Linked DNA regions of Caenorhabditis elegans. The protein of the gene in region 2 purifies or fractionates together with the protein of the main gene of each other region. This does not show direct contact. Each region holds a gene or a part of one and is shown on either strand. Other genes may lie near its edges.

What was found.
Region 1: the proteins of cyb-1 (region 2) and cdk-1 purify together in Caenorhabditis elegans (affinity purification with western blotting, with the first as the bait; 2 studies listed by BioGRID). This does not show direct contact.

The regions. Positions count from the first base shown.
Region 1 is NC_003281.10:9,745,631-9,749,373, reverse strand, and holds cdk-1 (Cyclin-dependent kinase 1), read right to left. Parts: upstream 1,903-3,743; 5' UTR 1,901-1,902; coding exon 1,721-1,900; intron 1,671-1,720; coding exon 1,464-1,670; intron 1,416-1,463; coding exon 1,260-1,415; intron 1,209-1,259; coding exon 882-1,208; intron 835-881; coding exon 706-834; 3' UTR 522-705; downstream 1-521. Other genes in the region: T05G5.4 (uncharacterized protein), read right to left, coding at 1-7, 54-156, 224-337, 381-434; iff-1 (Eukaryotic translation initiation factor 5A-1), read left to right, coding at 2,221-2,321, 2,769-2,898, 2,943-3,095, 3,214-3,351, 3,401-3,466. UniProt on the Caenorhabditis elegans protein: Plays a key role in the control of the eukaryotic cell cycle. Required for entry into S-phase and mitosis. Acts as a component of the kinase complex that phosphorylates the repetitive C-terminus of RNA polymerase II.
Region 2 is NC_003282.8:10,733,672-10,737,988, forward strand, and holds cyb-1 (G2/mitotic-specific cyclin-B1), read left to right. Parts: upstream 1-1,770; 5' UTR 1,771-1,784; coding exon 1,785-1,844; intron 1,845-1,886; coding exon 1,887-2,305; intron 2,306-2,384; coding exon 2,385-2,771; intron 2,772-2,817; coding exon 2,818-2,920; intron 2,921-2,964; coding exon 2,965-3,081; 3' UTR 3,082-3,502; downstream 3,503-4,317. Other genes in the region: orc-5 (Origin recognition complex subunit 5 C-terminal domain-containing protein), read right to left, coding at 1-122, 168-504, 547-686, 764-907; grl-21 (Ground-like domain-containing protein), read left to right, coding at 3,822-4,157, 4,201-4,317. UniProt on the Caenorhabditis elegans protein: Essential for the control of the cell cycle at the G2/M (mitosis) transition.

The DNA.
Region 1 (3,743 bases), on a different chromosome or scaffold from region 2:
TTGTCTTCTGAAATTTCAGATATTCGAGAGAATGAATAAATATTAAACAATACCTTCCCGGTAATAGTTTAAAATATCTTTCCTAGACTGATTCTTCTCATAAAGATCAGCTTTGTCCATCAAAATAGAAACCTTCGAGTGATGAATGTAAATGTTCTAAACACAATTATTTTGATTTATTCTCTAAATTGTATTTAATCCTATATATAGGGATATATCCTACCGGTCCCAATTCTAATTGACGTGCAATTGGAGACCACGAACGATAAGTGAATCCCCAGTAAAGATCATCGAGGAATTCTACAATCGATGGGAAGAAGAAAATTGCAAGAATAATCTTAATAGCTCCAGTTAGATTAGTTTTCGTTACCTTAGCTTACGTGCGAAATGTTAGACAGAGAAATTACGAATATTGGAATCACTGCAGCGATCATTCTTCAGAATGGAAAAATAATAATAATGAATTCTTAATTCCCTATTCTCATTTACACGTTGAACAAAGTGCTTGAATAAAAAAGAGCATGAAAGTAGAGCGAATTTATTTATCGCGGTGTGAAAAAAGAGATTACTCATGAATATCGAAGGGCCAAATAATCATCGTACAGGTAAAAAGTTGAAATGGTGATAGTTAAACAATACACGGAAGACGATAGGTGGTTAAAGCACGGGAGAATAAATAATAAAAATGATGATGAATGAATTACATCAAAAGAGTTCGAGTTCTCCTCGGTAATTTCCAGCTGGCAGCTTTGACGTATCCATGTTGTCAAAATAAGGATGAACGAGAGCTTTTTTCGCGTTGAGACGAAGTGATGGATCGTAGATCAGCAAACCCTGAAAATATTATTTTACTTGTTAAAGTACTATTTTAGAAATCTTACTTCAAGAAGAGAGAATGCAGTATCGTCCAAAAGGTGCTTTCCAGTCTTCTTGTCGTAGAACTTGTCACGGAGGAAATTCTCACGCCATTTTGGGAACGTCGCCTTGTAGTCCGGAAGTGATTCAACACCATTCCATTCCAACTCAGTCGGTGTGCCGAGAACTCTGAAGATGCGGAACAGCTCATCAATTTCTGAATCTCCTTGAAACAGTGGCTTCTTCGTGGCCATTTCAGCAAAAATGCATCCAATCGACCACATGTCTACGCCCATCGAGTATCTCTGAGCACCCATCAGAATTTCTGGAGCTCTATACCAGAGAGTGACAACCTGAAAACCGGACAATCATTGTATTGGTGTACAGAATGAATGCAAACTCACTTCATGCGTGTAAACGCGAATCGGGATACCAATAGCTCTGGCAAGTCCGAAATCGGCAAGCTTGATTGCTCCATTGTTGTCGACCAGCAAGTTCTGTGGCTTAAGATCGCGATGAATAACACGACGCTGATGACAAAAACACATAGCTTGAAGAATCTGGAACAATTATTCTTGTAAAGACATCGATTTTAAATATTTCCTCACTTGGAATGTGTAACTTTTAAGAGTTTCGAGCGGAAGGTATTCATCTTTTCCCAACTGATCCATGTATCGTTTCAAGTCGAAAGACAGGAATTCGAAGATCAGGAAAAGCCGGTTCTCCTGCATAATGACCGCTTCCAATCCAACAACATTCGGATGCTGGAGCTCTTTGAGCAAGCTGATCTCTCGCACAGCCGTTGATGGAACACCCTATAAGAATTATTGTTTGAAAAAACGAAACTGCTACAAAATTCAAATACCTCATCTTCACTTTCCAATCTGATTTTCTTCATAGCAACCATGGCATTGGTTCTTCTGTTTTTGCCTTTGTAGACGACTCCGTATGTTCCTTCGCCGATTTTTTCGAGCTTCGTGAAATCGTTGAGTGTGTAAACCGAATCTCCCTCGTGGGCCACTTCTCCTTCGCGAATAGGATCCATAACTAAAATTGGAAATGAATTTTGTCAGAACAATTGTAATACAACGATAGAAAAGGCGTAAGCGTGTAATTTTGAATCATTTCCACTGCCGCCGAAAAGGGGGGACAGTCGGTGCGAGACCATTGCTTAGTGAAAAGGCATGCACCTTTGATGACAATTTATTCCGAAAAGGAGAGTACGCGCTGAGAAGGATTGTTGTGAAACATTGCATTCATATGATAAAATTTAACGCAAAACTGTGCAGAAAAGAGAATAAATACAGGCCGGAAAATATAAAAATAACTACTCAAAATAATCATAAACTTGATTTGTTCTACTTTATGAGGCTTCCAACAAAACTAAACAGAGTTTCAAAGAAAAATCGTAATCTTGGCTTCGGAGGGTGGATGGCGAGAGTTGCTGCCCCGAAGACCATAGAGAGGTAATTTTTATTATTTAATTTTACATGATGAAAGCGAAATTTGGCAAGTAAGCAACGAATGCATTTTTAGGAAATTATTTATTCAGATAAATCAAAAAATAGAGCAGATTCCTTGAAATCCTAAAAAAGTGAGGACTTCGATTCTGTCTGAAGATGGAAGTTGGCGCCAAATTTTTGGCTGCGTAGCGACTCATTCTTCATTGTGATACGCAGCCAAACAACGTCCTTTCAAAAAAATTCGCGCATTTGATTTTCTCTCGATTTCTATACTTTTCTCAGGTTTGTACAGTGTTTTTCTTGCTAAGATCAATATTTTATTAGAAATGCATCAAATTTCTCAATCAAAACAATTTTTTCCTGCAAACCTTTTTTTCCAAATTTATTTTTTGAATTTCTCGTTGGAAACTAGTTGAAAATGCTAAAATAATTGATAAATCTTTGTTGCAGTATGTCCGAAGATCATCACGACGAGGAGCAATTCGACTCTGCCGAGTCCGGAGCTGCTGCTACTTTCCCGAAGCAATGCTCGGCTCTTCGCAAGAACGAGCACGTCATGATCCGAGGAAGACCATGCAAGGTAAAAAATAATTCAGTGAATTTTCCTAATTAGAAATTTTTTAGATCGTCGAGATGAGCACCTCCAAGACTGGAAAGCACGGACATGCTAAGGTTCACATGGTTGCCATCGATATTTTCACCACCAAGAAGCTTGAGGATATCTGCCCATCCACCCACAACATGGACGTCCCAGTCGTCAAGAGACGCGAGTACATTGTAAGTTGTTAATTAGTTTTTAAGAAGGCTTTCAAAAAAATCAACTTTGGACGGTTAAACAAATCTTTTGAAAAATGAGTTAATCAGCTGTAAAAAATGTTATTGATCAAATTTTCAGCTCATGTCGATCGAAGACGGGTTCTGCTCGCTCATGGATCCAGAATCTTGCGAGCTCAAAGACGATCTCAAAATGCCAGAAGGAGACTTGGGAAACACTATCCGTGAGGCTCTCGAGAAAGACGAAGGAAGCGTCTTGGTAATTATTTCGACATCCACCTTTTGAATCTGAAAATTTTGATTTTCAGGTTCAAGTCGTTGCTGCCTGCGGAGAGGAGGCTATTCTCGGATACAAGATTTCTACCAAGGAATAATTGCATTTATATACAATTTCATAATAAAAGCAGTTCCAGTTTAATCATCCCGCTTTTTATACATCATTCGAAAAACATCGGGCAATGAACAAGTGCACCTCCGCTGGTGTTGTGTAATGTGGGTGTTTTATGTGTCGTGTTGATTGTGATATCTGCTCACCAAACGAAAATGAATTGCTTGCAAACCGCGGAGGTGACATCTGTCCATGGAGTGTTAAATCAGATTCAGTTGTCAGACTTTGTAATCACAGTTCCTAGTTTTTGGAACTACATGGCC
Region 2 (4,317 bases):
TTCTCTCCGACAACATTCCCGAGCTTTTCTCCAGATGATCTATTGAGGCATTCTTTTGCCAGTGTAGAGTCGAATTTATCGCCGGTTCTCCGCTCATCATACATTAGCCACGCATCAGATATCTGGAATTGTAGTGATGGATTTAACATTGTTTTTAAAAAACTTACAATTGATAGAAGAATATTCGGTGACTTGCAGGCCATGAACAGTGACTGGCAAGCAACGTGAAGAAATTGCGCGTTGATTTTTGGATTTGCACGAGAAATAAGAACTTTGGTAGTTTCTACTGATGGTGCAGGTATGTGAAACTCTACAACTGGAAGATGGCTCAGATTAATGTGATATTGGTTCAAGCAGGATGGTGCACTCGTCACAAATCGAATCGTTATTTCTTGTATAGCTTTGTAAGAATCGAATAAGCATTGTAATGGAACAGGAGGATAGTCTGTTATCGCTTGTGCATTATCAAGAAAAATGACAATTTTTCTATTAGTTTCGTCTGGCCTGAAAATATTTAAAATTTAATTAACAAGAAAATACACTTACCATTGGACATATTTATACAGGTTATCGCAAAAATTCTCAGCTCTGTCACCTCTAGTCTTGAAACCTAAACTCGATGCCAGTGAATCGAATAACAATTTCAGCGATCCATCCGCATAGAGGAAGTCTCCAAGCACACAAACCTATAAAAATAGATTGTGAATTTTGAAATTGTTTGAAATTTTTAATTGTTTTGAAATTGAAGTTGTAAAACACGAACCCAATCGTTTTCAGGTTTTCTCAGAAGTTGACGAACAATTTCACTTCTTCCGCTTCCATCTTCTCCGAAAATGTGGACATGAGAAATAATTCGCGAGTTGTTAAATAAGAGCATTTTTAGACGTCTTATCTCACAATTTTCCATTTTGCTAAAAATAAAAAACTATGATATGGATAAAATGACTGATTTTTCAGCCTTGAAATAAAAACAAAAAAAACTTTCTTCCAGTAAAAACTGTTTTCAAGTTGGCGGGTATTCAATGGAGCAGGTTTACTTGGCTAAACTAAGCGCGATGCGAAATAACGGAGTGTCGTATTGCAGCGCGAACCTTGAAAATAAAATCATTTGCTCTTGAAACTTTGCGATTATTAAAGTTTTGATCGGATCTCCCTCAATTTTTCGGCGCCAAGAATTTATTTTTTGCAAAAACCTTCAATGGAACGATTATTTTCCAACGCAGGTTTCCCTATTTGAATCTTTGCCACATAGACCGGTTCATTTTATTCATTATTCGATTCTTGAACAAAAACAATCTTTTTTTCTTTGGCTTATCGTTATCAAATACCTAACTTTGGAGCTTTATTAATATTCTAGGTTCATTTGTAATTCATCTTTTAACGTCTGTTCTTCATTCATCCTAGGTGACATATTTAATCGATATTACCCTTCGCGATTCCCCCCTCCTACCACCAAGCACCATCTTGGTGTGGGGGAGTTGCGCTCCGTTGGACAATCGCTGCACGCGGAACATTCGAATCCCATTTGTCGATATTCTTGTATTTAGTGCAAACAATTCTTAATAGGCTCCTCACGTGACCTTAACATGTTCGCCGTGTAGAAACTATTTACACGTTGTGTTCTATTTAGATAAAATCATAACCTTTCTGTCAGATTTTGTAAAACGTCCAGTATTTCTCAACTTACCAATTTTCTACTAGCAATCAAAGGTTCTTTCTCACTTTTTATTTTATTATCTCTTGGAACTTGCAAACAATCGTTTATTGCAGCGAAAGGCCTCAATATGCTAAGAGCCACCAACAACAGACGAACATCGAATAATGTGGAAAAGGATAGCCTCCAGGTACAAGGTGTTTACAAACTAAAAACTATAATTATCATTCAGATGGCTAAGCACGGAAACGGACCATTGAAGCCCGTCAATGCGCAAGGTCTTCAGACGAAAAGAGAAGCTCGAGAGATTCTTGCACTCAAGCCATCCAATCCAGCTCCAGTCGAAACTGCGCAAAAGTCACAGAGAATCAACCTCCAGGATGCTGAGACTAAATGTCTTGCTATGGCCGACGACATATACAAGTATCTCGTTCATCACGAGAAAAAGTATCTTCTTGAGGAGTGCTTCATGGAGGGAGGAGAGCCCACTCCCAAGATGCGTCGCATTCTCGTCGATTGGCTTGTCCAAGTTCATGTTCGATTCCATCTCACACCTGAGACACTTCACTTGACTGTCTTCATTCTGGATCGCATGCTTCAGAAGAAGGTCACCTCCAAGGCGGATCTTCAGCTTCTTGGAATTTCAGCTATGTGAGAGTTTTTATTCAATTTTAAAACGTAACATATAGGGATTACTAATTGTGTATCCTTTAAAAATGTTTTGTTTCAGGTTCGTTGCCTCCAAGTTCGAAGAGGTTTACCTCCCAGACATCCACGACTACGAGTTCATCACTGAGAACACATACAGCAAGAAGCAGATCTTGGCAATGGAGCAAACAATCCTTAACTCGTTGAACTTTGACTTGTCCTGCCCATCTTCGCTTGTCTTCCTCCGCTGTCTCTCAAGAATTCTCTCCGAAAACGATGCCAGCCCAATCGATAATCAAGCTTTCTGTTATACTTACAATATCTCCAAGTGTCTCGGAGAGCTCGCACTGCTCGATTCGGTTATGGCCTCGACCCCAAGGTCCCACATTGCTTCTGCTTCGATGATCATCGCTCTTGAAGTTCATCCTGTTGACGGAATCGAGGCGGAGAATGCTGTATCGGTCATTTGGTACATTTTAAAGCTTATATTTTTATTTTAATATCAACATTTTTAGCAAACAGCTCGGAGCCTCTAAGAAAGTCATTGAGGATGCTGTCGCTTTGCTCGCCGAAGTCTCGTATAAGAACTTCAAACAGGGGAAGCTTGTCGCTATTAAGGTATTGAATCATCGAAGTATTCCAATAAACATAATTATTTGCAGAATAAGTATCAATCAAGCAAGCTTGCACAAGTTTCCAACTTGATGACCGACGACGTACTCGAGAAAATCAATCGGATGGGCCAGAATGCAAAAGTGGACGCATCAGAAATGGAATGAGCACTTCGATCCGAAATAAACATTTTGTACCATTCAGTCTTTCTTGATTCTTATGTTTCTTCCTTCATTGCTTTTCTTTTCGGCTCCTTTCCATTTTTTAACTCCTCCAGTCGTTTCCACGTCAATCTGGTCACACCCGTACATTGATTGTAAATTGGTGAACATTCGTTGAGCGACCATACACCACCTCCCATATTATTCAATTTGTCCATTTTGAAATTTAAAATTTCACTAAAAATTTTTATCACAACTTTTCGCGCCCTCTTTTGTATCGATCTCGTATTTAATTATTGAAACCACACTGCTGTAAGACTCACCGTCCTCATCTCTGTTGTTGTAACTAGAAGGACCAAAAACTTTCTGATGAAACCTATGTGCTATTAAATTTTGTTAAATGGAATTACTATAAATCATGTACTAAATAAGTGATGGAGTAGTCTGAAGGTTCTAGGGGGTCTCCTGCGCAATGACGCGACGAACTTAAACCAGTCAACAAGCATAAAAACAAGTAGGCTCCACCCACTTTAACCTTGAATTCTGTGTGCCGAACCCGGGGTCAAGTGGCTTTTCGGCCAATTACTCATCGGTTTGTTACAGCACTGGCGGTCACTTCTCGCCGAATTTTCTCAAAATGTGTAATAATGAAGCTGCAATTTCTCTGCGTATCAATCTCTAACGCTCTGCTGTAATGACTACAAAAGTGACCATCGAAAACGAGAATTTCATACATTCCACTCGAAATGGTTCATTCATCAGTTCTAATTGTTCTTTCACTGACTGCTTCTTCATCTGCATTCCTTCTAGAAGGACTCGGTTTAGGATTAGGTCCACAAAGACCTCAACAATGCTGCTGTCCACCACCTCCACCACCTCCACCATGCGGAGGCGGATATGAAGCTCCACCTCCACCACCACCACCATCATATGCGGGTGGACCATCATACGCTGGACCATCTTATGCTGGATCCTACGGACCAGGACCATACAGAGCCAAGTCAAAGAGATCAGTTGACATGAAAGCTTCAAGTGGAGATTTGTTCTGTAATAGTGTTGAAGTTAGAGATATTATCAAGAAGGTATTGCATTTGAAAGTAACTAGTCTATATTGAACATTTTCAGGGAATGACATCAGGTGAGAAGGAGTCACGTGAAACAATCACTGCTCTCCTGAAAACTGAAATGAACCGTGAATATGTTGTGATCTGCACAAAGCAGCCATTCGAATACCTCGCTTCT